Coturnix japonica: one gene and its partners. The protein of the gene in region 2 interacts with the protein of the main gene of each other region in a biochemical or structural test. Links are inferred from orthologs where the notes say so. Each region holds a gene or a part of one and is shown on either strand. Other genes may lie near its edges. The genes, in order: CFTR, CASK, CNTNAP2, SDC2, plasma membrane calcium-transporting ATPase 4 and CASKIN1.

Region 1 (3,500 bases), about 79 Mb from region 2:
TCATATATATTCATATATAGTATGATATACATGTCTGCATATGTATGTTGTGTTCATTTTTTGTGTACGTACAAACACACCAATATGTATGTTGCAGGGAATTGGAGAGCTCTTTGTAAAAGCAAAACAAGAAAACAACAACAGCAAAGCTCCTAGCAATGACAACAATCTCTTCTTCAGCAATTTTCCCCTTCATGCTTCTCCTGTTCTTCAGGATATAAATTTTAAGATCGAGAAAGGAGAGTTATTAGCTGTTTCTGGATCTACTGGATCAGGCAAGGTATTTCTCTTTCTGTTGCTCCAACAGAATTTTAAGGATTATTTTCGTGTTGTTGGTATTGTTAGTGGACTTGTGGTAATCTGTGCCCTCTCTAAAAGTAGCAGCAGCAGGAAGAATGTATGAATAAAATATATTTCAGTAAAATGATCCATACTTATTTTAAATTTTACTCTGTGGTTAATGTGAAGAGGAGTCTGCTGGATAGTTTTTGTACATACAAGGATATAGGCTTAGTAGAGAAATACCAATTGAAATTACAAATCTATTTTTCCTTAGGAACTAGAAGGAGGTTTGCAGGAGTAATGCAGACTGTAACCTTAAGCTGGTGATCATGATGAACATCTCCCTGCCTGTTTTAATAGTGCACTGGAGAACGTTACCTGAACACCCAGATCGCTCAGGGTGCCTGAAAGCAGGGCTTTGTCCTGCTTTGCTAAAATTTTAAGGAAAAATTTGAAAACAAAGTGGTCAATAATCTGACAAACATGGCACTAATTAGCCAAGTAACTATGATACATACTCTGTATATGTGACATACCTCATTGTATAGATTCCAGATCACTCAGTACCGAGCTTGAGCTCATGCTCTCAGTTCCAGGTGAAACCCTGGAGGACAAGTTTGGGGAGGTGCTGTTCAAACAGGTGGAGTACTGAGAAGTTGTGGTTTAGATAAATCATCATCTTAGATCTGGAAAATGTTATAAATGCATTTTGTTTGCAGATAGCATATCCAATTGACCTTGGTACTATCATAGAATCATAGAATCACCAAGGTTGGAAAAGACCTGCAAGATCATCCAGTCCAGCCCTCCACCTATCACCAGTAGTTCTCACTAAACTGTGTACCTTATAAAATACACTGAACTGTAATACTTATATTCACTGGAAGCTGTAAGGATTAGATAAAGAATTAGATTAAGTATTTGATCTTCAGGGAGCCTTCTGAGAAGGCGTGAAATAAAAGAAAAAGTTAATTATGGATTTGTCAACTTTTCCCATTTAACAAATTATTGTTGAAAGTATTCTGACTTCATTTACTTTCACTGATCAGGACTCCTTTGGATGAGGAGGATTCCCCTCTGGAGATTTTCACAAGCTATCTGGACATTGTACTGAGCAGCTCTAGGTGTTCTTAATCGAGCAATCAGGTGTTGGGCCAGATGGCTTCCAGAGGTCTTGTCCAGTCTCAGCCATTCTGTGATTCTGTGTGAAGTGTTTGGTTTGTTGAAGTCAGTGGCAGAGGACCTATCAATTTCAAAAGGGTCAAGGCTTCAATATTATTTTTCAGAAATGATACCAACACAAAATACATGAGGTTGTCCTGGTATGCATTTTAAAATGCTGGTATGCATTTTTACTGTGATAATTCTGAATGAACAGAAGAATTTTATTATATTGCTGAATTATTAATCTAAGATGGCTGTTGCTGAAGCTCATACTTGTAATACAAAATGTCAGTTAGTTTAGGACATTGTTGATATATTCCATTTATTAAGCTGCTTAGGAAAATTCAAATCACGCTGTGCTGTAAGCAATTATATATCTACAAGAAATCTGCATTTTTCCAGGCAATACAGATGAAAAGATCAAATTTTATCTGAAAGGCAAATGTAACATAAGATTTACACTTGTCGCTCCAACAAAAGAAGCCTCTCCTTTCCTTCCATCCTCTCAGTGTAGGGTTTCTTTCTTCTTGTTGGTATTGCAAATTCCAGGGATTGTCAGGCCTATGGAACAGAGTGTGTGCTTATTTCTTCTATCTGTGCTATGAAGCCTGATGTCAGCTCACTTTAAAGACTATGACATAAGATATTGTAGCTCAACATGCAGTGTACAGAACATCCTAAGAGATTATCCTTTGCAAGTTCAGAAACTTCTTACTCAGCTTTTAGGAAAATTGAAGATCTGGTACGATGGGAAGATGTTTCATGATACTCCCACTGCATACTGTATAACTTCTCAAAGGATCTTTTTGCTTGAGAACAAAAAATTGTGTCTTAGATAGATTTTTAGATCTTTGGCTGTTATGTCCCAGCTTTGTTGACTGTTTATTTGTGATAAGAACACCACTGGAATGCCTCTGAAACATATTTTTCCTTGTATTTCTCAACTCTGTTCTTTGATCAAGTAGCTAGTGATGTGTGACAAGGTTACTACAAGCTACTGATTAACTTTGAAATTATAACATGTTAGTGCTGAAATTGCAATCAATTCTTTTATGAAGGGAAACAGCAAATATGCATAGGTCATGTACTCACGTAAATGAGTTAACAGTTACAGACAAGACTTCAGATCACACTGAGCAGTTGGTGAGCAATTACATCCACAGAGATATCACACTTTTCAAGGCAACACAGAAAAAGGGCTATAAACATCAGCAAGGTTGTAAACATGAACTGTGTTGTACAAAGAACAAGCAAAATAGGCAGTGATGTTAAAAATCAAATAACATTCACCATAAGTTCAAATACCCGACATCCATATGTCTCCTATAGAGATTCACATTTTTTACCTTGCTATCAGTTTACTTAAAAGTGCATGCTTTTGCAGCCACATGCCTTGTTTACAGGCCACCATACAGTTTTTCTTGTTCGGTGAATTAGTTTCTCTCTGTTCGGAGGCCTTTCAGAACCATACACATCATTGAGATCTTCAGTAATTGTGACTTGCACTAAATCAGTGAATGTAGGGGCATTTTACAGAACAAAAATACCATCTTATTATTTTAAAGTGATTCCTACTTTGTTTAGCATTTCTTGTGGTTGTACGGATCTCAGATATACGAACCATTCGCAATTTTTCAGACTTCACTTCTGATGTTGATAATGGGAGAACTGGAGCCTTCTCAGGGTAAAATTAAACACAGTGGAAGGATATCATTCTCTCCTCAAGTCTCTTGGATCATGCCTGGAACAATCAAAGAAAACATCATTTTTGGTGTATCCTATGATGAATACCGATACAAGAGTGTCATCCAAGCCTGCCAACTGGAAGAGGTCAGTCATCTAGAACTATTAAGACCTAACTGTAAAAACATAATACTAAATAAAAGTCAGGGAGTACAGTTTTACATAAACAAGAACTCATCCTGGCACTCAGATTTTGTAGAATTATAAGTCAGCCTATTGGCAGCTCCTTCAGACATGTACTGATCATGCTGGTTCTGGGAGTTTACATAACAGGAGCTAAATCAGCTGGCTCAGGTACTATAAGGTTCCTG
Region 2 (3,500 bases):
CTACATACAATTTTGCACTACATAGAACATTGCTACTTACGAGGAATGGGGTACGCAAATCTGTCCGGATGTTTTGTGATGAGTGTGTTTTTTATGTGTCGTCTTCCAACGCCATGTGCACCTAACCCACAACACAAAAATCATCCATTAGTTTTCTGCCACAAGATGTTAATAATTATGCTCTTACGTTTGAAATAACAACTCAAAATTACCTAGTAAGACTAGCGTTTTCCTTTTGAATGCTGGCAGTTTTACTACTTCTTCATATGTGACGAGATCTAATTGATCAAACACTAAAACACAAAAGAAACCCCCAGAGGGATAAGAAAAAACATCATTATTAAGGATGATAATAAACTGTGCTACAAATTGTCATTTTAGCAAGTGTTAGATTCACAATACAAAGCAATATGCTATGGAAAGTAAAACCATTTCCTTAAGTAATTTTAAGAAAAGTGTCCATTAAGAAAACTGTTAAAAAGCAATAACACAGCTACTGAAATGCTCAGGAAAACTTGCATGTCCTTTCATGCAGAATTCAGCAGACCACAAAAATCAGCTAAAAAGGCATGCTATTTACATTTGCATTCCTAAGAAGTAGCAATACTAAAGAAAATCTGTAGACAGTGACCAACATGAATATAGTATGAGAACATCTATTTACACTGAAGATATGGATACTTTCACGTTCATGTTTAACGAGATCTTTGAGTAATCATGATTTTTAAGGTTTAATTCTTTGTGGTATTTCTTCTTCAAAACACGTTATTTGTAATTAGAGTTCTCTTTGAACACACGTGCTCGTTAAATTGACATGCTTTTAAAACTTTTGATAGAACAAAAAAGTTTAACAGAAAGTGATGACGTTACATAAAAGAACCTCCACCATATTTAGGGAAAAATTGTAAAAGTATTGTTTCAGAAATGATTTCAACTGCAGTGAATGAATTTCATCATGCCTATCAATCTACTGTGAATTGCCAAGATAAGTAATGATTGACAAATCAAGTTTTGTTCATAAAAACAACTTCTTACTTTGCCCAACAAGATCTGTGGCCATTTTTATAGAATTTTGATTAAAAGAAAAAAATAAAAAGCCAGGAGGCAGTTGATTATATTTTTAAAGATCAGAACAATCAGAAGTTAGGAACATAATAACTTGCAAGAGTTTACAGTTCTGTATTTGAATGCGCTGTAAACAGAAGGGAGAGACTGCATCTTAAGTATGACATTTTTGAGTGTTTCCAAGTCCCAAAGTGGCGTATTCACTTCAACTACATCCTGTCCATCTCTCTCTCTCTTTTATTTTTTTTAAATTTAATTTTTTAAAGAAAAAATTTGGATGTATTTCTCTCCTCCTCATGGTTAGGTACCCCTATAGTTAGGTAGGCAGGGGTAGGAGCCTGTGTTTGCTTGCTCCAGTTGTCACCAACCTCCACAGTCTGAAGACATTCTGACTGCAGAGCCTATCAGAAAGCACATGCTTTGTACTACAGTCAAAGCAACAAAGGGTTTAACATTTCCTTTTATAGGGCAGATGTTAAACCCAATGGCACCATTTCCACCCTAGAAAAAAGTGCAATTACTTTAATTTAGTCCAAATACAAATTAGTCAATTGACACACTTGACTCTTTAAGGACTTGAAAAGGTATGCATTTGAAAACTTCCTAAGTTCCTTTGAAGCATTTTGCACTTCATGATGAAGAAAAACCTCTTTCAACCTTTCCCCAAATATTACAAGATAAAACAAGCAAGAAGTTAGTCATATTTTTTCTTCCTTTCCACAAATTACCAGCATGGAATTCTTCATTTTTGCAACTTTGCACTAAATTAACTAAATTCATTTCATATCAGAAAGATATAAAGATCTACAACATGTTGAAGAGTTTTACCATTCTAACCATTCTAGCTTTACCATTCTAACTATCTACTGGGAAAGGTGTCTTCTCCCGTTAAAAAAAGTCAATCCTTTATTTTTTCTTGAACAAAACCATGTTATGTTAGATACAAACAACAGGAGCAAACAACAGAAATGGCACATATTAATGCCTCCATCACAAATTAGTAGCATGAAGAAGATATGTCTCAGTCTACATGGAGTTACCTAATGATTGTAGGGTTTTCAAGCACAAAAGAAAAATGAATATTTAAAAAATATACACAAGATATGAGGAATACGGGATACATATAAAGACTGAACTTGTAATACTCCTGTGTTACTAGCTAGTAAAGAAAAGGAGTTTTGAAAGGAAACAGTAAGAAGCAAATAAAGAGGCATTGTCACTTGACAGGTTACTTACATGCACAGAGGCCATTGGGAGTAAGACAGCATGAAAAATGTACAGGGGTCATTGAGATATGGCTTGTAATATATTAGTAAAATAAAAAGTATATGCACAAAATAAACTTTACCATGCAGTAGTCTAAACACGAGGCAAATAAATCACATTAAGAAATGATAAACATATTTTATAAAAGCTTGGCAATTTTTACATTATGCATAATATGACACATAGTTCTAGTATGTTCTGAAGAGCGTTCTTTTATGAAGTCCTGCAACAACACTTTTAAAAATGTAAATATCACTGCAGTATATCTCTAGAGATAATCTCTGGAGCATTTATAGAAATGCTAATGAATCTTAAATGATTTTTGTTTTTCCTGTAGGTTTTGGTTCCAAACAGATTTTACAATGATAAGAAGTATGATCTAGAAGATGTATCTTGAAGGACACGCTATTCTATTATCAAGTATGGAGGAAAGTAAAATTAGATGAGTTATTTTTCTTATAAAGGAGAATATACTTGCTGAAGACATGTTTTTAATTATGAAACACACACACTGAAAATCTGCAAAAAGTAATGTTGCAGTATTTCTGACTAACAATACCACGTGATATTTCAGAGATGGTAAATTCAGTACTGAGTTCATTAAATGTAATACATTCACATAAGCATGACATCAATTCAGTGATCCTCTTAATATCTACGTACTTCTTAATTCTCTGGAATGTTATTGGCATCAACTTTTGTACCTCAAGGATACAATGACCAATAACGTTGCTAAGTGAAATATAAATCCCAATTTGTACTTTGATTAACTTTTTGACTTCCTAGGGGAAGGGCAAGTGTCATACTGTTACTTTGAAATGAATGTGTTTTAATGATTATGACCACTTCAAAGGTTCACGTTTCTAATTTTTGGCAAACTCTGACGAGAAGTTTCCAAAAGCACTACCATAGGCAAGCTCTAAGGCCATCAAATCATGCAATCAAACGTCTGTCAACCTCCTCCAAAATGACTCCCTCTTGTCAAGATTGTGATGTCTATATTACTGTCCATTGATGAGGGTTTAATTGATACAAAGTCTCCAGAAACAAAATTAGCTCAACGTATTCTCTGCTCCTCCCCGGACATACTCATTCCTTTGCAGCACGCCACGTGAAGTCACAGTGACATTATTTATCACATAGTTGTAGTTGTGAACTGTACTATGAAA
Region 3 (3,500 bases), on a different chromosome or scaffold from region 2:
TCTTGATACCTTGCATCCACCAGGCGCAAGAACTTTCTCTTGAGTTCCATATAAATTGTTTTGAGCTATAGTGCACCAAGAAAGAAAGTTGCATAACAAGCAATGGAAATTTGAAAATTGTGGAAGAACAGCTATCAGGTTGGCCACTGTGATGAAGATGAAGGAGAAATAACAAGGAGGAAGAAGGTGGTTGTATGACCACCTTAGATGCAACTGCATATGCACAGAGGGACATTAGCAAATATTAAGGAGTTCTTTATGAAAAATAAATATGTATCCCAATGTATTGCATATGTATGTCTTCACTGTTTAAATGCAGAACCTGAACTGTAAGAGCACCCATGCTCTTGATTTATTGAGTTGCTTGGTAAGTATTGTGAGGAATAAAGGAATGTCACATTCTAACATCACATTGGAGTTAGAGAGTTTTCTTCCCAGATTTCAGATGACAAACTCAAAGTCCAATTGGCCAGATAATAATTATCAGTTATCTTCTTGTTTCCAGCACTGGATGAAGTCTCATACTTCAAAATAACAAGTTTTTCACTATGAGAATTGTAAAAGCACTGGTTCATGTAGTTCATGTGATAGCAATTTATTGCCTCAGTGCAGATATTTTTTTTTTAATATCTCTGTCACTGTGAGATTATAGCACGTTAGAATGACAGATATTTTAAGCAAGAACTTCAGAAATACTGAGTGCTCTTGGTTTGAAGATTTGATGAGAAATAGATCATTCCTGTGATAATTTTATAAAATGTGTAAGTGTGAGTAATAGCACCTGGCAAGCAAGCTGCCTTCTTTGAAAGTAAGCAAACCAACTACTCTTCAGGTTTGAGAAGAATTTAGTGGGAAATAGAAGTCTACTTAAATGTTCACTGCTTACATCTGTAATAGAAAAGCCATACTTTATGATCTGTCCTCTGGTTGCTGAGAAAAATTATATTGCTATCATATATATTTTATATTTGAAAGTGGTACTCAACTCATTTTCAAGTGAACAATATACTTAACAGATTCATCTTTGTTCCTGTCTCATTTACGTGACCAGATAAGTAACAAAAATACCCTTTTATGGAAAACAAACAAAATTGGATGGAAAGCTTTTTCAGGATACAGTAAGGGTGCTATTTCTGGATTTATTTATTAATTTTTTAAAAAATATGGGTTTCCTACTTTCCCTATTCTTCTATGTGCATCTAGTTTAATAAGATTCAAATGAATCTTCTTCCCGATTCTATAAAACAGCTATGTTCCAGGCAGACTGATTGAGAGATGTTTACCTCAGCAGCGAAACTCTAAATAAAACATTTCTTGCTCCTGAAAGCCCTAGGTAACAATTGCCACATAATACACTGAGAAGAAAAATCATCAGAATTTAAATGTAGGTGAGATGATGTAAAACCGGTATACTTAACTGAGTTTGTAATTTCTCACTGTGAAGAATATTTAATCTGATTTCTTCATCAAATCATAAAATCACTAGGGTTGAAAAAGACCTCTAAGATCATCTTGTCCAACTGTCAGCCATCAATAATTTATTTAGTCTTGCAACCATCTAAATCAGCTGCATATGACTCCATAGTATACATGCCACATATTTCCCAAATTTAAGCCCTTAATAACAGAAGGCTCTTTATTGCTCTTTATCTTCCATCTAGCAGTAAGAGACAGAGGGGAAAAAAAAAAAGCTTCAGAATGTGAGAAAGATGCATATATCAAAGTACAGCCCTGGCCTCCCAAAATCTGAAAAGCTGTTATAAATGTCACCAATATGTTTTCAGTATATATGTCATTTTATAAATTTCCTAGTTTTCTGATAATTCAGCTCCAGTACACATAGTGTTAATTTTAGTTGGCAGCCTCACTCAAATGACATTGTTATCCACTGAAAAGTTTTCATTTTAGTGCCTTGAAAAAGTAACTTTCAGGGATCTATTTTAGTCTGTATGTAGATTATACTGTGATAGCTACACTTTTGGCTTGGTTCCCAAGGAGACTTCCTCTATTTATATTTCATCTGTTATTGGTTTTTTATTTCCTTCTTATGAACTATCAAATTCATATTAATCCATCCAATCTATCTGACTCTCCTGCCAACAAAACTGTTCTCATATACTGCTGCAGTCTCTGTATTTGTAGATTGGACAGCCAGGGAATGAAAACAGAGTTCTGTTAATGACTATACAGAAAAGGCTGTCTAGAAATACTGGTTCCTTCGTGCAGAGCTCTCCTCAGATATTTAAATACTATGATATTATCTTTAAGATTTGTGAGCTAAAATACAAAGAGGTAAAGTTCCCGTTGGTGCAGTACTGAAAACTGAGTAGGCTAGAAGTACATTAGTAATACTCACCTGTCTTAGACTCCTGTCAAATAAACACTGAAGAATCAGGTCATTTTTGCTTGTGTGAACAGCTCTTCTATTTCACTGTACAGCAGGGTAAATTTAAATTTTAAGACATTCTTATTTGCAGATGCAGGTCTTAAGGAATGATATTTACTTGCTTGTGTGTCAGTATCTACTGCCATTTAAGACGCTGTAGGTTATCCTCCTGTTTTTCAGCTAGTGTTTCATAATAATGCAGGTTTATCCTAAGCCTCAGGTTATTTCCCACTCAGATGTTTCTGATGTCCTTGAGCATCTACAGTGACATATGTATTATCCCAGCTGTCATCACACTAGATCAAGGATTTGGGCAAGTATGACTCAATGCAATTGAGAGAATAGCTTTTTCTTTTTCTTTTTCTTTTTTTTTTTTTTTAAAGTACTAGGAGTGGGATTTCCAAGCAGAATGCCATCTACTGTATTTTTATTTCCTAAATTGCACTGATATTGCCAGGGGAAAGGATACCATCAAATTACAAAATGTTACAAGCTACAAGCAATAAACTAGATGGAATAAAAACATGTTCATTGTCTGCTTACCTGGAGTATTATGTCCCGTTCATTCCGTGTGATGTTAACGGTATGGGGCTGTCCATTTGCCATGTTTCTGTGGTCAACATCAATGTTATATGGCTCCTTGGTACCTCCTAGGTTATACCGAATTTGCAGATTCCCTAATGAAATGAATGCGAAAAGTACCCTCAGGTGTGTTGATATTTATTCACAGCTATTTTCCCCTCTTTATTTCCTCATACAACTATTGCCACTTAACATTTAAGTTGCTCTCATAGATGCTACCTGCTCTTGGAGAATTTTAAAAAGGGTTAGTGTTTCAGATTATTCAATTATTGGGCAGAAAACAGCTTTCAGTTTACAACCCTGAAGCATGAAAGTAACCGGCATCTCAAAACCATTGTTTGTACATTCTTCCAAATTGCAAACTGAACAAATCAGAGCTATGCCTTAAACAATACAGATAATTACTTCAAATTTGAGCACATCAAGTAGCATATTATTGTTGATATTATTATCCCTTCTGTAGTAAACTTATTTGAAGTTATATAAAGTATGACGTTTTTTTTTTTTAAATAATAAAGTGATAAGCCTTGAA
Region 4 (4,018 bases), on a different chromosome or scaffold from region 2:
AAAACAAACATTCACCCTCTCCAACATGGGATCCATTTTCCAGATTCCAAAAGCAAAGTAATGATTAGAAACAAATGCAGAAAAAATTACAGCACCGTGCTTCCAAAATATTAAATATTTCTCAAAAATACACAAATTATTACCCAAGTAATCCTTCAATAATAGCGTATATGTCAACAATCCAGTGCTTAGATGCTTACAAAAGGAACAGACAGACCACATAGTTGATGTTGGTGCTGCAGTGCTCTATTTTAAAGAACACTACGCACACAGTGCTGGGGAGTTGGCATGAAGCAGAGTCCTTTGACTCAAGATACACCACTACACAGGAGGAGAGCCACGACTGTTCTCCCATTTGTGAGAGCAGCAGGATTACAGTGCAGCACACACAGAAACCTGTTTGCCAGCAAGTCTTCCCTGCACCCACCTTGGCTTGCGGAGAGGATCAGAGCATCACACAAGCCCTGGAAAGCCATTAGTCCTACTGATGAGGAGCAGAAAGAAGCAGAAAGGTTTATCAGCCTCGGCAGAATGGGAACTGACAAGGACAGTGAGATACTTGGCACTGCTCTCTGTTGCTATTAAAATCAGCAAGCGTTGACTCCTGCTATCATCAAGACTGAACCCAACCTCATAAAAGACACACCTGACTCACACTTAGAGAGCTGGCCTTTTCTTTTTCCAGCACTTTCACATCACTCTCTTTCCCTCTCCTAAAAGGGAACCAGAAAGAACACCTTTTCCACAATTCACCCAAGCCTGGGTGAGTCTCAAAGTGCCTTCACATCTGCTGATGTTACCAGACCCCACTGATATCCAGCATCTCCCCCTGCACAGCGAAGTACCCTGTGAGCCCAGTGCCATCTGCCAGCTCTGATGTGGGCACTTGCCACCTCCTGCAGCCAGGCACAACAGGGTACAGCTGCCCGGCACCCTCTGCATCCTGATGCCAAGCTGACACCGCACACCACAGTACATCTGCAGCACAAGAGCCAACACCAGGGCACACAGACACGCAGCTCCCTACTACATTCCCAGTATGTTTTTAACGTGATTAACACCAACGGGGTCCACCCCAGTAAATAGCGGGGCTTGGTAGTTACACGAAGCAAACACAGGACATACTTCTTCAAGAATCAAACAAAGGAAAAGAACTTAGGAGCTAAAACCATTTGTCAGTACTCCAAAAGCTTGCAGGGTTGTTGTAAGCATCCAGATAAAATCCAACTTAGGACCAGGACAGCGTTCTGCACAGACAAGATTTAGCATCCGTCTTTTCCCAGACACCAGTCTACAAAACTCCTCCTTAAAGGACCTCGTAGCTGCCGCCAAAGAGGAAAAAAGGAGGGGGGAGAAAAATCCACCTCCCTTCACCTCTCCCATCTGCCCACAACTTTCTGGCAGCAGTCAGGGCGCTGCTCAGGGCCGGCAGCACGGCTCCCCCCGTTCCAGCCGCAGGAGCCTGCTCATCCCAAGGCAAAACCATCCAACTTAATACTTAACTAATGACTGTGGCAGTTGCAGTTACTCCGCCATCAGAGAACTTCGTAACAGTAGCGTTCCTATGAAACTAAAACATACAGCAAGGGGGAGCGCGCATAGCGGGAACGGGAGTCCGGGCTCGACACAACTCGGTCTTAATTAGCCCTCAAGAAAAGCGTTTTGCAATTGTATCCTTCGGAATCACTAATGATGAGGCGGACCGCACGAAAGCTGCGACGGGGCTTATTTATACAATAGCCAGGCAACTTCAAAAGCGAACCCGAGCCGGTGACATTATTTAGTTCAGTGGAGCAGCTCATTTTAATTGGATTAAATTGTCACGGTATTTTAATTTCGGACTGAAACCTCCATTTATTATTTCCTAATATTTGTCCCAACGCTGTAACCGCGTTCTTTTCTCGGCTCCCTCCTCCTCCTCCATCCCCCTCCGCCCCGGCACCGTCCCGAAGCGCCGCCGGCGAAGCCCGAATCCTCTCCCGATCCGCCCGCAGCGCGGGGCGGGAGCGCTGCGCAGAGGAGCGGCTTTTCGGGAGGTACAAATCCCGACAACGGAGTTAATTGCATTAAGCAGAGTTCCCCGCTCAGAGGAGACACTTGTGGCTGCGAGAAGCGTAAACAGCGGCATTATCCGCAGCCAGCCCGGGCGGGGAGGGCAGCCGGGATGGGCGCGCACCCCGCGGGGAAGCGAGGGTCATGGGGCGCGTACCGAGCCGCATAGCCACGGCCAATTAACTCATTAGGTGCCCTCCGTAGCAGCCTGTCGAGCCGCGGGGAACAGGGGGAAGGCGCCGCCGGGGGGACGCGGACCCGCACCTCCTCGGGTCGGGGCGTCGCGGTGAAGTCGGGTCTGGAGGGGCGCTCCCACTGCTCCTATCGAGGACATTCCTCGGGGGCAGCGCTGCGGACGGAGCCCAGGTGGCCGCCCCCGTCCCGTCCTTGTCCCGTCCCCCCGCCCTGCCGCTCGCTCACTCACCGGCTGCCCGGAGGCGCAGGCCACGAAGCTGAGGGTGAGCGCGAGCCACACGCACCGCATTCTTCCCGAGGAGCCGGCGCGGCGGCCGCCTGTGGCCGGGCACAAAGGAGAAAGCGGGGCCGCTGCGCTCGGCAGCGCCCGGGGGCGCGGGGCAGGGCCGCGGGCGCCCTCCGGCCCGTTCCGCTCCGCTGCTGTCGGCGTTCAGCTCCGCGCTGCCCGGCGGCACAACGCTGCCCGGCGGCACAACGCTGCCCGGCTGCTGCTGCTGCTGCTGCTGCTGCTGCTGCTGCTGCTGCTGCTACCTTCTCCTCCTCCTCCTCCTCCTTCTTCTTCTTCTTCTTCGCCGCCCGCTCCTCTCCTTCCTTCCTTCCCTCCCGCCCTCCGCCCCGTGTGCGCGGCAGCGGCAGCGCGGCTCCCAGTTAAACCCCGCAGAAATTCCTGCAGGATTACAACACAGATTGGCAGCTCCCCCAGCCAGTGGAAGGAGGCGGCGCGTCTCCGCCGCCGGCTCTCGCCCCTCGCAAATTCAAGCAACTTTCCACCTTCCCCTCCACCAAAAAAAATAACCACCGCCCCCTCTCTATCCTCTACTCTGCCGTCCTCCCCCCCAGTGGAAAACATGAGAGGGCTGGACCCGGATAGAAGCAGGGACCTGGAAAGTCTCCCTCTGCTGTTTTTTGTTTGTTTGTTTGCTTGCTTGCTTTTTTATCATATAGTTATTTATTTATTTCAAGGGAATTCTTCCCTCTGCTCTGTGTCCTCAACCGCCGGACCGAGCCGCGCTGCCTCTCACATCCTCCCCCAGTTACCTAGAAGGCAGCAATCAGGTGCTGGGAAACAAAAAGGATGAGGCTCATGGGTGCCAAAATGGCAGCTCATTTTGGTTTGCTTTTTTTCCCAGACTTTTCTCAGAAGACCTGAAACTTTTAGGAAATAAGAGAGTGGCTGTGATTTGTGTCTCATACATGGAGCCAGGAAGAATGTCTTCAAAACAAATATTGACAGCACCAAGGATGCGCACTCCAGAAGCGAAGCCAAGAGGTCTTGCTGGGACTGGCCCATGGTGTTTATCATGCAGGGAAAGTGGTAGTATTGCAGAGCTTAGGAGCATCGTTCTGACTCGGGTACCTGTGCCAGTGCGTTTCCACTGCCAAGCGTATCCATGTGTTACATCAGTCACTGGACACAGGAAGGTGAAATATTGCTCTTGATTACAACCAACTGCATTTGATTCAATTCTGAGCTTCAGGCTGTGTTTATAGCCAAACTAAGGTAGTCACAAGGACCATAATGATCACTCTTAGACAAGCCTGTCCCACTCAGAGGACCCCATGGAAGCAAGAAGCATGAGGATCCCAGTGCAGGTGCTTCTCCATGCCCATCGCCTTACCTGCATTGGCCTTTGAGTGGTGCTGAGATCCCATCTGCCTCCAGTCCCTGCTATGGAAACAGAAAAACAAAACCAAAGGTGGTTAATTAAGCACACGCAGTCTGTCGTCTTCCCAGCCTCTCCCAGACAAAGGCACCCCACACATGCCGGTG
Region 5 (3,500 bases), on a different chromosome or scaffold from region 2:
GATTGCCTCTGGCAGGTGAGGTGAGCTGTCTGGGGTCCCGCATTCAGTGCCTGATGACAGTGAGCCCACAGCAGAGGTGCTGCTGGAGCAGTATGTGTAGCCCCTTGGAGGAGGGCTGACCCTTCCTATCCCTCTGTCTGGTCTGTGTGCTCAGCCCTGCACCCTTTCTCTCTTTGAACAGGTAAAAAAACCGGAGCCCCTGAAAATCGCAACAAAGGTAACCAGCCTCTCCATCCTTTGAACCAGCACCACACTAACTACAAAGCATTCCTCCTTCCTTCTTCTCATGAGTCTGTGCTCTTTGCTACTCTGGCGGGACTCTCGCCTCGTTTTCCTGGGAGAGGGTGCAATGGTCCCACAGCTCCGGCACAATGGGATCAATGCCCCATGGCCTCTGCTTGGGGCGCAGTCTTTGGGAAGGGAAGACAAGCCTATTCCTGGCAGTTCAGACTGCTGGCACAGCATCCCTTGGTGCAAAGCAAGTCCCTATTGACATGACCTAGTGGCTCTGAAGCATTTGTGCTGCTTTCCTGCAGGGTGTGTATTTTGGCATGGTGGGGCAAGAGGCACAGGTCACATCCTCCTGGGATAAATCTCCTGTGAGACCCGGCCTGTGTGGTGGTTGCACCCTCTCCTCCCATGGCCTCGACTCCGTGAGCGTCTCCTCGCCGGTGTTTCTCACCCTGTTCTTTGCAGGCTGTGGAGGAAGCCCATTTCTGCACCTCTCTCTCCACCCCCCTCTCTCTTTCTTTCCTCTCAGCAGTTTTGCCCTCCTTCCTGCCAGATGTGTCTGGGTGCTTGTTTTGTCCGTGTTGTTGTAACTGTGGAGGTGTCAGGGCAGCCTGGGGCTGTCTCTGACCATTGAGCAGTGGCTGCCAGGAGGGGATGGGTCCTGGGGCTGCTGTGGGGTGGTTTTGCTGCTCCCCCAGCCCAGCAGATCTCAGCCTTTGCTCCACCATCCCACCCCATGCCGCCCAACCCAGCTGGGATTTTTTAGCTGAGGGGAGGCCATGGAGCTGGGCTACGGAAGCCTGGCCTTTTTGGGTCCTAAGAACATAATGGACAGCTTGGGGCTGGGATTGTAGGAGCTGGTTCACTCCTCTTTCAACTCCTTTGGAATGTCTTAACTGTTCTCCTCCATCTCACCTCTCCAGTGCTCTTATATGTAATGGATTCCTGCTGAGCCTCCAGAAGGGCTTTAAAAAGGGCATTAAACCGCAGAAGAGGGGTACAGAGCAGAGAGAAGTCCTCTACAAGCTTGACCCACTGTGTTGTAGCTGGGGTGGGGTCTGCTGGTGCACTGGAGCTGCTTTGGGGCAAACCCAGCATGCTTTTCTTGTGCTGCAGGGTGTGAAGCAGCTGGGGAGAGGTTGGAGATGTCCTGCCTGTGCCCGGCAGCCAGGTTAGGGATCTCTGGCAGCACTTCTGTGACCCATAGCCAGCGTCAGCCCCAGGACCCTTCCTGCATGGGGCTGGGGCATGGGGTAGATGTAAAGACTGCCCCATAGAGAGGCAACAGGGCCCCAGGACAAGAGATTTCCATGTGCTCGGATATGTGTGTCATGGAGGATGGTTTGTGCTCTGGGTTTTCTCTCTTTCCCACCACCGTATTTCTCAGTGGTGTCCTGCAGATCTCCCTGGTCTCTCTCCTACTCACACGTGGTGTCTTATTTTGCCCTGGGGCTGTAGCTAAAACTCAGGATGGTGTGGCCTTAGAGATCCAACCCTTGAAGAGCCAGGAAGGGGTGGAAAATGAGGAGAAGGAGAAGAAGAAAGTGAAGGTGCCCAAGAAGGAGAAGTCTGTGCTCCAAGGGAAGCTGACGCGCCTTGCAGTCCAGATTGGGAAGGCAGGTGAGCCATCACCCCGGGTGTCTCACTGGAGGTGGGACAGTGGGAGGGGGCTGATCCCTGCTTGCCATCCCTGTGTCCCCTCACTTGCTGCTTGGCATCCTCTCCCAGGGTTGATTATGTCAGCCATCACGGTGATCATCTTGGTGCTGTACTTTGTCATCGACACCTTTGGGGTACAGCGTCGGCCCTGGCTGGCAGAATGCACCCCCATCTACATCCAGTACTTTGTCAAGTTCTTCATCATCGGTGTCACCGTGCTGGTAGTGGCTGTGCCTGAAGGGCTCCCACTGGCAGTCACCATCTCCCTGGCCTACTCAGTGAAGGTGAGACCAGTAGGGGCATGGTGGGTGTGGAGAAGTGTGATGGGAATGTTCAGGCTTTTGGCTTTAACCTTCCTGGTCATGCTGCAGAAAATGATGAAGGACAACAACCTTGTGAGGCACTTGGATGCTTGTGAGACCATGGGTAATGCCACTGCCATCTGCTCAGACAAGACCGGCACGCTCACAATGAACCGAATGACTGTGGTGCAGGCCTACGTGGGGGACACCCACTATCGCCAGATTCCTGACCCTGAAGCCATCTTGCCCAAGGTCCTGGACCTCATTGTCAATGGTGTTGCCATCAACTCTGCCTACACATCCAAGATCCTGGTGAGTTGGCTCTTGAGAACCACAGCCTTACGTTCCCACTGTTGGCCATCGCTACTGCTTCCATCCCACTGTGTTCTGCAGTGCCCAGGTTTGACATTTCTTTTCCTTTCCCTTTTTCCTCCAGCCACCAGAGAAGGAAGGGGGGCTACCCCGGCAAGTGGGGAACAAGACAGAGTGTGCCTTGCTGGGCTTTGTGCTGGACCTGAAGCAGGATTATCAGGCTGTGCGGAATGAGGTGCCAGAGGAGAAGCTGTACAAAGTCTATACCTTCAACTCTGTGCGCAAGTCCATGAGCACAGTACTCAAGAACAGTGACAACAGCTTCCGCATGTACAGCAAGGGAGCCTCTGAGATCATCCTCCGCAAGTAACTGTCGTCCCCCCCCTCCACGCTGAGTCCTCTCCCCAACCCACCTGCCCCATGGACTTTGAGCTCTCAGAGCGGTGTTGAGCTGTTCTGGGGGATTGCAGGGTGAAGGGGACCCAGTGCTTGAGGAGGGGGGAAAGAAAGTGTGAGCATCAGGAAGTGCTGCTGTGCAAAGTGTTAGCTCTTTTTAGGGTGTCTCTAGTAAGGCTATAGGGGTACTGGGTGAGAGGTACTCATTTTACAGATGGGGGAAACTGGGTGGTGGAAGGAGGGGACTGCTGAACAGCCACAAGCAGTCTCCCTTACTCTCCTGTCCTGTCCTGTGGTAGGTGCACCAAGATTCTGGACAAGAATGGTGACCCCCGGATGTTCAAAGTGAAGGATCGAGATGAGATGGTGAAGAAGGTGATTGAGCCTATGGCTTGCCATGGGCTGCGGACCATCTGCCTGGCCTTCCGTGACTTCCCTGCTGACACTGAGCCTGACTGGGACAGTGAGAATGAGATCCTGTCTGACCTGACGTGCATTGCTGTGGTGGGGATAGAGGACCCTGTGCGGCCAGAGGTACTGTGGCCCCCATGTGGCTCTGACAGCCCATCACCCAGCTGTGCTCCTGGTCCAGGAGCCTCT
Region 6 (3,944 bases), on a different chromosome or scaffold from region 2:
CCATCATCCGTTCAATCCATCCCTGTGCCAGAGGGCACCTGGCTGCCAGCAGCACCTGGGGGTACACTGTGGGAGTCACAGGACCACCCACAACTGCTCCTACCAGGGACACAGGCAGATGCTCCAATTTCCAGCAGCCCATCTGAGGATGGTATCCCAGCAGTGTGAACTGTCTCCCAGCTGTTTGAAGCTGAGGAGCCATGCTGGGGTCTGTACTTGCTGCAGCCCTGCCGGGGTGAGGCGGGTGCTCCGCTGCTGCCAGAGCTTTAACGAAAGTCAAACCGCTGCGCGGCTGGAAGTCACTGACTAAGCACTTGGCACGAGCATTTATTGAAGTGCTAAACAGATTTTGGCAGTGGCAGCCTCTTCTGCAGGTGCAGAGAGGAGAGTTTCTCTGCTCTGGTTTATTCAGCATTCAGCCAGCACAGGTTTGGCCGAAGCTGGGGGTGCAGCTTGGGCACCATGTGGCACTGCCCTGTGTGGGGACAGGGCTGTCACTGTGTAGGTGCCTGCATGCAGACACAGCAGCCCCTGGCTGGGTGAGGGACAGCAGTGATAGCAGCCGGCCCTCACACCACCAGCACTGCTGCTCCCTGCCTACAGCTGGAGGCTGAGTTGCTGCATCCTCGGGGAGCTGCATCCCTGATTTGGTTTTAAAGAAGGCACTTTGGGTCTTAATAGGAGATAATTAGAAGCTGCTGGCTGGGAAATGAGCTTGTGCTGATCCCAGCTGGGATTGCAAAAGCGGGTGCGCAGGGATCGGCGTCACCTTGGCATCACTGCCTCACCCTGCAATGTCAAAACTCTGGGGAAGCCCCTCTCTGGGAGCAGCCTGTGGGAGAGGGCAGGCCCTGTTGCCGCTCGTCCGTCTGTCCATCTGTCTGTCCCGTGAGCGGGGCCCATCTTGGGGCCAGGGCTGGAGACTGGACCCAGTGTTGAGTGCCAACCCACTGCCTTTGTCCGCCGGCGATTTGCATCTCGCAGGATGGCTCGGCCCCTCTCCTGGGAGCAGCTCATTGGGGCAGCAGCGGGCAGCGGAAGCAGCCCTGGGCACCTCTCCACCAGCCCTGAATGGCACCTTTGTTGGGGAGCCTGGCAGCAGCCCTGGGCTGGCGGGCACCCACTCAGCCCTGGTACTGGAGACTCTGCGGCAACTGGGATGGGACACAGGGCTGCCACATCCCTGAGGTCTGGCTGCACCAGTGAGGATTTGTTGCTGGAGGGTTTTGTTACTGTGTTAAGGAACGCGGGCTACCAGGGTAAGGGGGCTGCCCTGCCATGGGGGGCATATTCTAAAGGTGTGGTTTTGGGAAGAGGGCAAGTGGTGTGGCCAGGGTGTGCTGGGGGCCTCTGGCCCTCACATGGGGACCCTTTGGTGCCGCTGCCCCCCCTGCAGCTGCCTGATCACCCTGTGTACCAGGAGGAGATGCTGTGAACCTGATGGATGGGAGCTGCTATTTGTTGCTATTCAGAAGTCATCCTCCTTATCTATCATCCATCGGCCCCGGGCTGCGCTGTTGTTAGCAAATGTATGGCTTGTTGGGCTGTCTGGCAGCTGATGGAGCGCAGGAGGGAGCGGGGGCACACAGAGCTTGGCAGCATCCGCGTGGGCAGAGAGAAACTTCTCCCAGTGCCTGGTACCGTCCCTCTGTAGGGAAGGGTCAGGTAGCTGGGATGAAGCTGTGAGGCCCATGGGTCAGTGCCATGCACAGCGCTGGCTATGGGCAGGGATGGCAGAGCCTGGTCCCCATCCCCAGGTGCCTCATCTGCATGCGCCTGGACCTGTCTGCGCCACAGGGACTGGGATTTAAAATTCAATCAGGGCTCTACGTGCCAGGAGAGGCTCTGGTTGCTCAGCACTGGCTTTACCTGTGTTGCGGTGAGTCCTGTGCTGCAGTGATTGAATGGGGCAGAGGCTGAGGGCACGATGCTGCTCCAGGTAAGGGGGTAAAGCCCCCCCCCCACCCCAGTTCTGCACTCCTTAAAATGTGCTGGTGGATGCCAAGAGACCCAGTGACAGCAGGGTGCCTTTGGGGGGCTGGGACCCCACTCTGAGCCATTGGCATGTGTGGACCTTGTGGTAGTGGGCTGGCAGCAGCTGCCTGCTGCTCGCACCTGGCAAGCATCCTGCTGTGCCCAATGTGCTGACACAGCCTTTTTGTGTCATATAATTGAATATTGTGTTCAGGTGCTGATAAGTATTGCAGCCTGCAGCATGAGTGAGGACTCAGCAGCTCATCCGTGGTGTTCTCTCTTTCCCCACCTGAAATCGCTCCTTGCAGGGCTGTGCCTGTGCTGCAGCACCTTGCCTGGCTGTGCTCCCAGGCAGAAGAGCAGCCGCTGATCTGCTCTTCCTCAACCCTCAGTGAATGATTTCCCCGAGGCATGGGGATGTGCTGCTGCCTGCTCGCTGCACTGCACACAGGGATGGCTGCAGCTGGGTGACGTGGGCACCCCGTGGTCTGGGGTCACCGCTTCCCCTCCCCTGCTTGCGCAGCCCTGGGCTGTGCTCCCCCACCCCAGAGAGCTGCAGCTCAGCCGGGCCTTCAGCCTTTCTCCTCCTCCTAGAGGCCCCAGGAATGGTTCCACAGCTGAGCTCAGAGGTGATGCACATCCCCATGGCTCTGTTGTGTTCCTGCTCTGTTACGAGGAAGAGCACTTTCACTGAAAAGCCTGACTGGCGTTTGTGGATAAATCTCATGTAAATCTCACTCCATCCCTCCTTGCTGCTTTAATTGGATTGCTGCAAGAGTCTCCGTTTCCCTGTGCCTTTGGTTGGAGACAGGTGGGGTCTGCACAGGGGCAGGGCAGAGGAAGGTGGGCAGCACTATGGGGTTTGGGGCATGGCAGAGTCCTGTGGGTAAGGGAATGGGAGGGAAATCCTATATCAGCTGTGGGGCTGCCAGCAGGTGGTGGTGGGTAGTGCAGCATCACGTCTCCAGCAGGGGGACGCCCATGTTGCCATTTGCTTTGGGCATTTTGATGCTTTCAGGAGCAGCTTTTTCCTGTCCCTGAAATGCTGTGCATGGCCACCCTTCTGTCCAGACCTCAATCCTCCTGCTTGCAACAGCCCACAAGCTTGGGGCAGCCCCACACAGCCCTGTGTTGCATCTGGCCATGGGCTTTAGCCAGCAAAACCTACAGGAGAAATTGCAAAACCCAGCAGCAGCTGTGTCACCCTCCCCAGCACACACAGTGCCCAGCTGTGCCGCCTCTGCCTCCTCATTAACTGAGCTGTCTGCTCTTCCTCTCTCCCAGAGCTCCTCGGATCAGCAAAGAGAGTCAACGTCAACTTCCAGGACACTGATGGGTGAGCGCAACCCTGCTCTGGGTGTGCATGCTATTGAGTGTGAATGCTACGGGCTTTGCATGCTGTGGGGTGCAGTGAATGGGAGATCTCATGCAGGTGTTCTGGGCTTGTTGGTGCAATGCAGATGAGCGTGACCGCACATGTGCAGGTGGCTTTATGTGTACCAGCCATGCATAGCAGTGGAGATGAGGGCTGAAGGACACTGGTGTGCTGTGCTGTTGCTCTGCCAGCCCCCACCCCTCATGCTCTGAGTGGCAGTGGTGTTTTGGGAGCACCCATTCCTGCTTCCCGCTGGTGCATCAGCTCTGCTAGCCTGCACGTGGGCACGTGTCTGTGTGCATGGGTGCACACCAGCGTGCAGATGTGTATCTGAGAATGCGTGTGCATGCAAGCGTGGCTGTGTGTGTGAGCAATTTGTGGGTATGCTGGGCAGCACCAGGGCAGGCGCTTGGCTGCATGGGCAGGGTGGGGGTTGTGTCACCTCATGGCCCCCCTGTATGCAAGTCCTGCGGGGGAATGGGGTGGTGTAGGGAGAACATGCACTCTGCCTGTGGCTCCTGATGGGCTCAAGGTGTGCAGGAGCAGCCCAGCAGAGGTTCAGCTGTCCCAGTGCTGTGCCTCAGTTTCCCCATCT

Evidence for each region.
Region 1: the proteins of CASK (region 2) and CFTR interact in a test that uses a peptide from one of them, tested with the Homo sapiens proteins (2 studies listed by IntAct, with this or other methods). The link is inferred for Coturnix japonica from reciprocal best matches to the Homo sapiens genes CASK and CFTR.
Region 3: the proteins of CASK (region 2) and CNTNAP2 form a complex in vitro, tested with the Homo sapiens proteins (2 studies listed by BioGRID and IntAct, with this or other methods). The link is inferred for Coturnix japonica from reciprocal best matches to the Homo sapiens genes CASK and CNTNAP2.
Region 4: the proteins of CASK (region 2) and SDC2 form a complex in vitro, tested with the Homo sapiens proteins (2 studies listed by BioGRID and IntAct, with this or other methods). The link is inferred for Coturnix japonica from reciprocal best matches to the Homo sapiens genes CASK and SDC2.
Region 5: the proteins of CASK (region 2) and plasma membrane calcium-transporting ATPase 4 form a complex in vitro, tested with the Homo sapiens proteins (2 studies listed by BioGRID and IntAct, with this or other methods). The link is inferred for Coturnix japonica from reciprocal best matches to the Homo sapiens genes CASK and ATP2B4.
Region 6: the proteins of CASK (region 2) and CASKIN1 interact in a biophysical measurement, tested with the Homo sapiens proteins (2 studies listed by IntAct, with this or other methods). The link is inferred for Coturnix japonica from reciprocal best matches to the Homo sapiens genes CASK and CASKIN1.

The regions. Positions count from the first base shown.
Region 1 is NC_029516.1:22,096,302-22,099,801, reverse strand, and holds part of CFTR (cystic fibrosis transmembrane conductance regulator), read left to right. Parts: intron 1-97; coding exon 98-280; intron 281-3,084; coding exon 3,085-3,276; intron 3,277-3,500. UniProt on the Homo sapiens protein: Epithelial ion channel that plays an important role in the regulation of epithelial ion and water transport and fluid homeostasis. Mediates the transport of chloride ions across the cell membrane.
Region 2 is NC_029516.1:100,923,251-100,926,750, reverse strand, and holds part of CASK (peripheral plasma membrane protein CASK), read right to left. Parts: intron 294-3,500; coding exon 213-293; intron 122-212; coding exon 41-121; intron 1-40. UniProt on the Homo sapiens protein: Multidomain scaffolding Mg(2+)-independent protein kinase that catalyzes the phosphotransfer from ATP to proteins such as NRXN1, and plays a role in synaptic transmembrane protein anchoring and ion channel trafficking.
Region 3 is NC_029517.1:75,239,215-75,242,714, reverse strand, and holds part of CNTNAP2 (contactin-associated protein-like 2), read right to left. Parts: intron 3,064-3,500; coding exon 2,930-3,063; intron 1-2,929. UniProt on the Homo sapiens protein: Required for gap junction formation. Required, with CNTNAP1, for radial and longitudinal organization of myelinated axons.
Region 4 is NC_029517.1:114,934,648-114,938,665, reverse strand, and holds the start of SDC2 (syndecan-2), read right to left. Parts: upstream 2,801-4,018; 5' UTR 2,537-2,800; coding exon 2,477-2,536; intron 1-2,476. UniProt on the Homo sapiens protein: Cell surface proteoglycan which regulates dendritic arbor morphogenesis.
Region 5 is NC_029541.1:4,896,788-4,900,287, forward strand, and holds part of plasma membrane calcium-transporting ATPase 4, read left to right. Parts: intron 1-181; coding exon 182-217; intron 218-1,689; coding exon 1,690-1,851; intron 1,852-1,959; coding exon 1,960-2,174; intron 2,175-2,261; coding exon 2,262-2,504; intron 2,505-2,628; coding exon 2,629-2,870; intron 2,871-3,199; coding exon 3,200-3,434; intron 3,435-3,500. UniProt on the Homo sapiens protein: Calcium/calmodulin-regulated and magnesium-dependent enzyme that catalyzes the hydrolysis of ATP coupled with the transport of calcium out of the cell. By regulating sperm cell calcium homeostasis, may play a role in sperm motility.
Region 6 is NC_029529.1:6,408,843-6,412,786, reverse strand, and holds the start of CASKIN1 (caskin-1), read left to right. Parts: upstream 1-1,144; 5' UTR 1,145-1,159; coding exon 1,160-1,259; intron 1,260-3,258; coding exon 3,259-3,310; intron 3,311-3,944.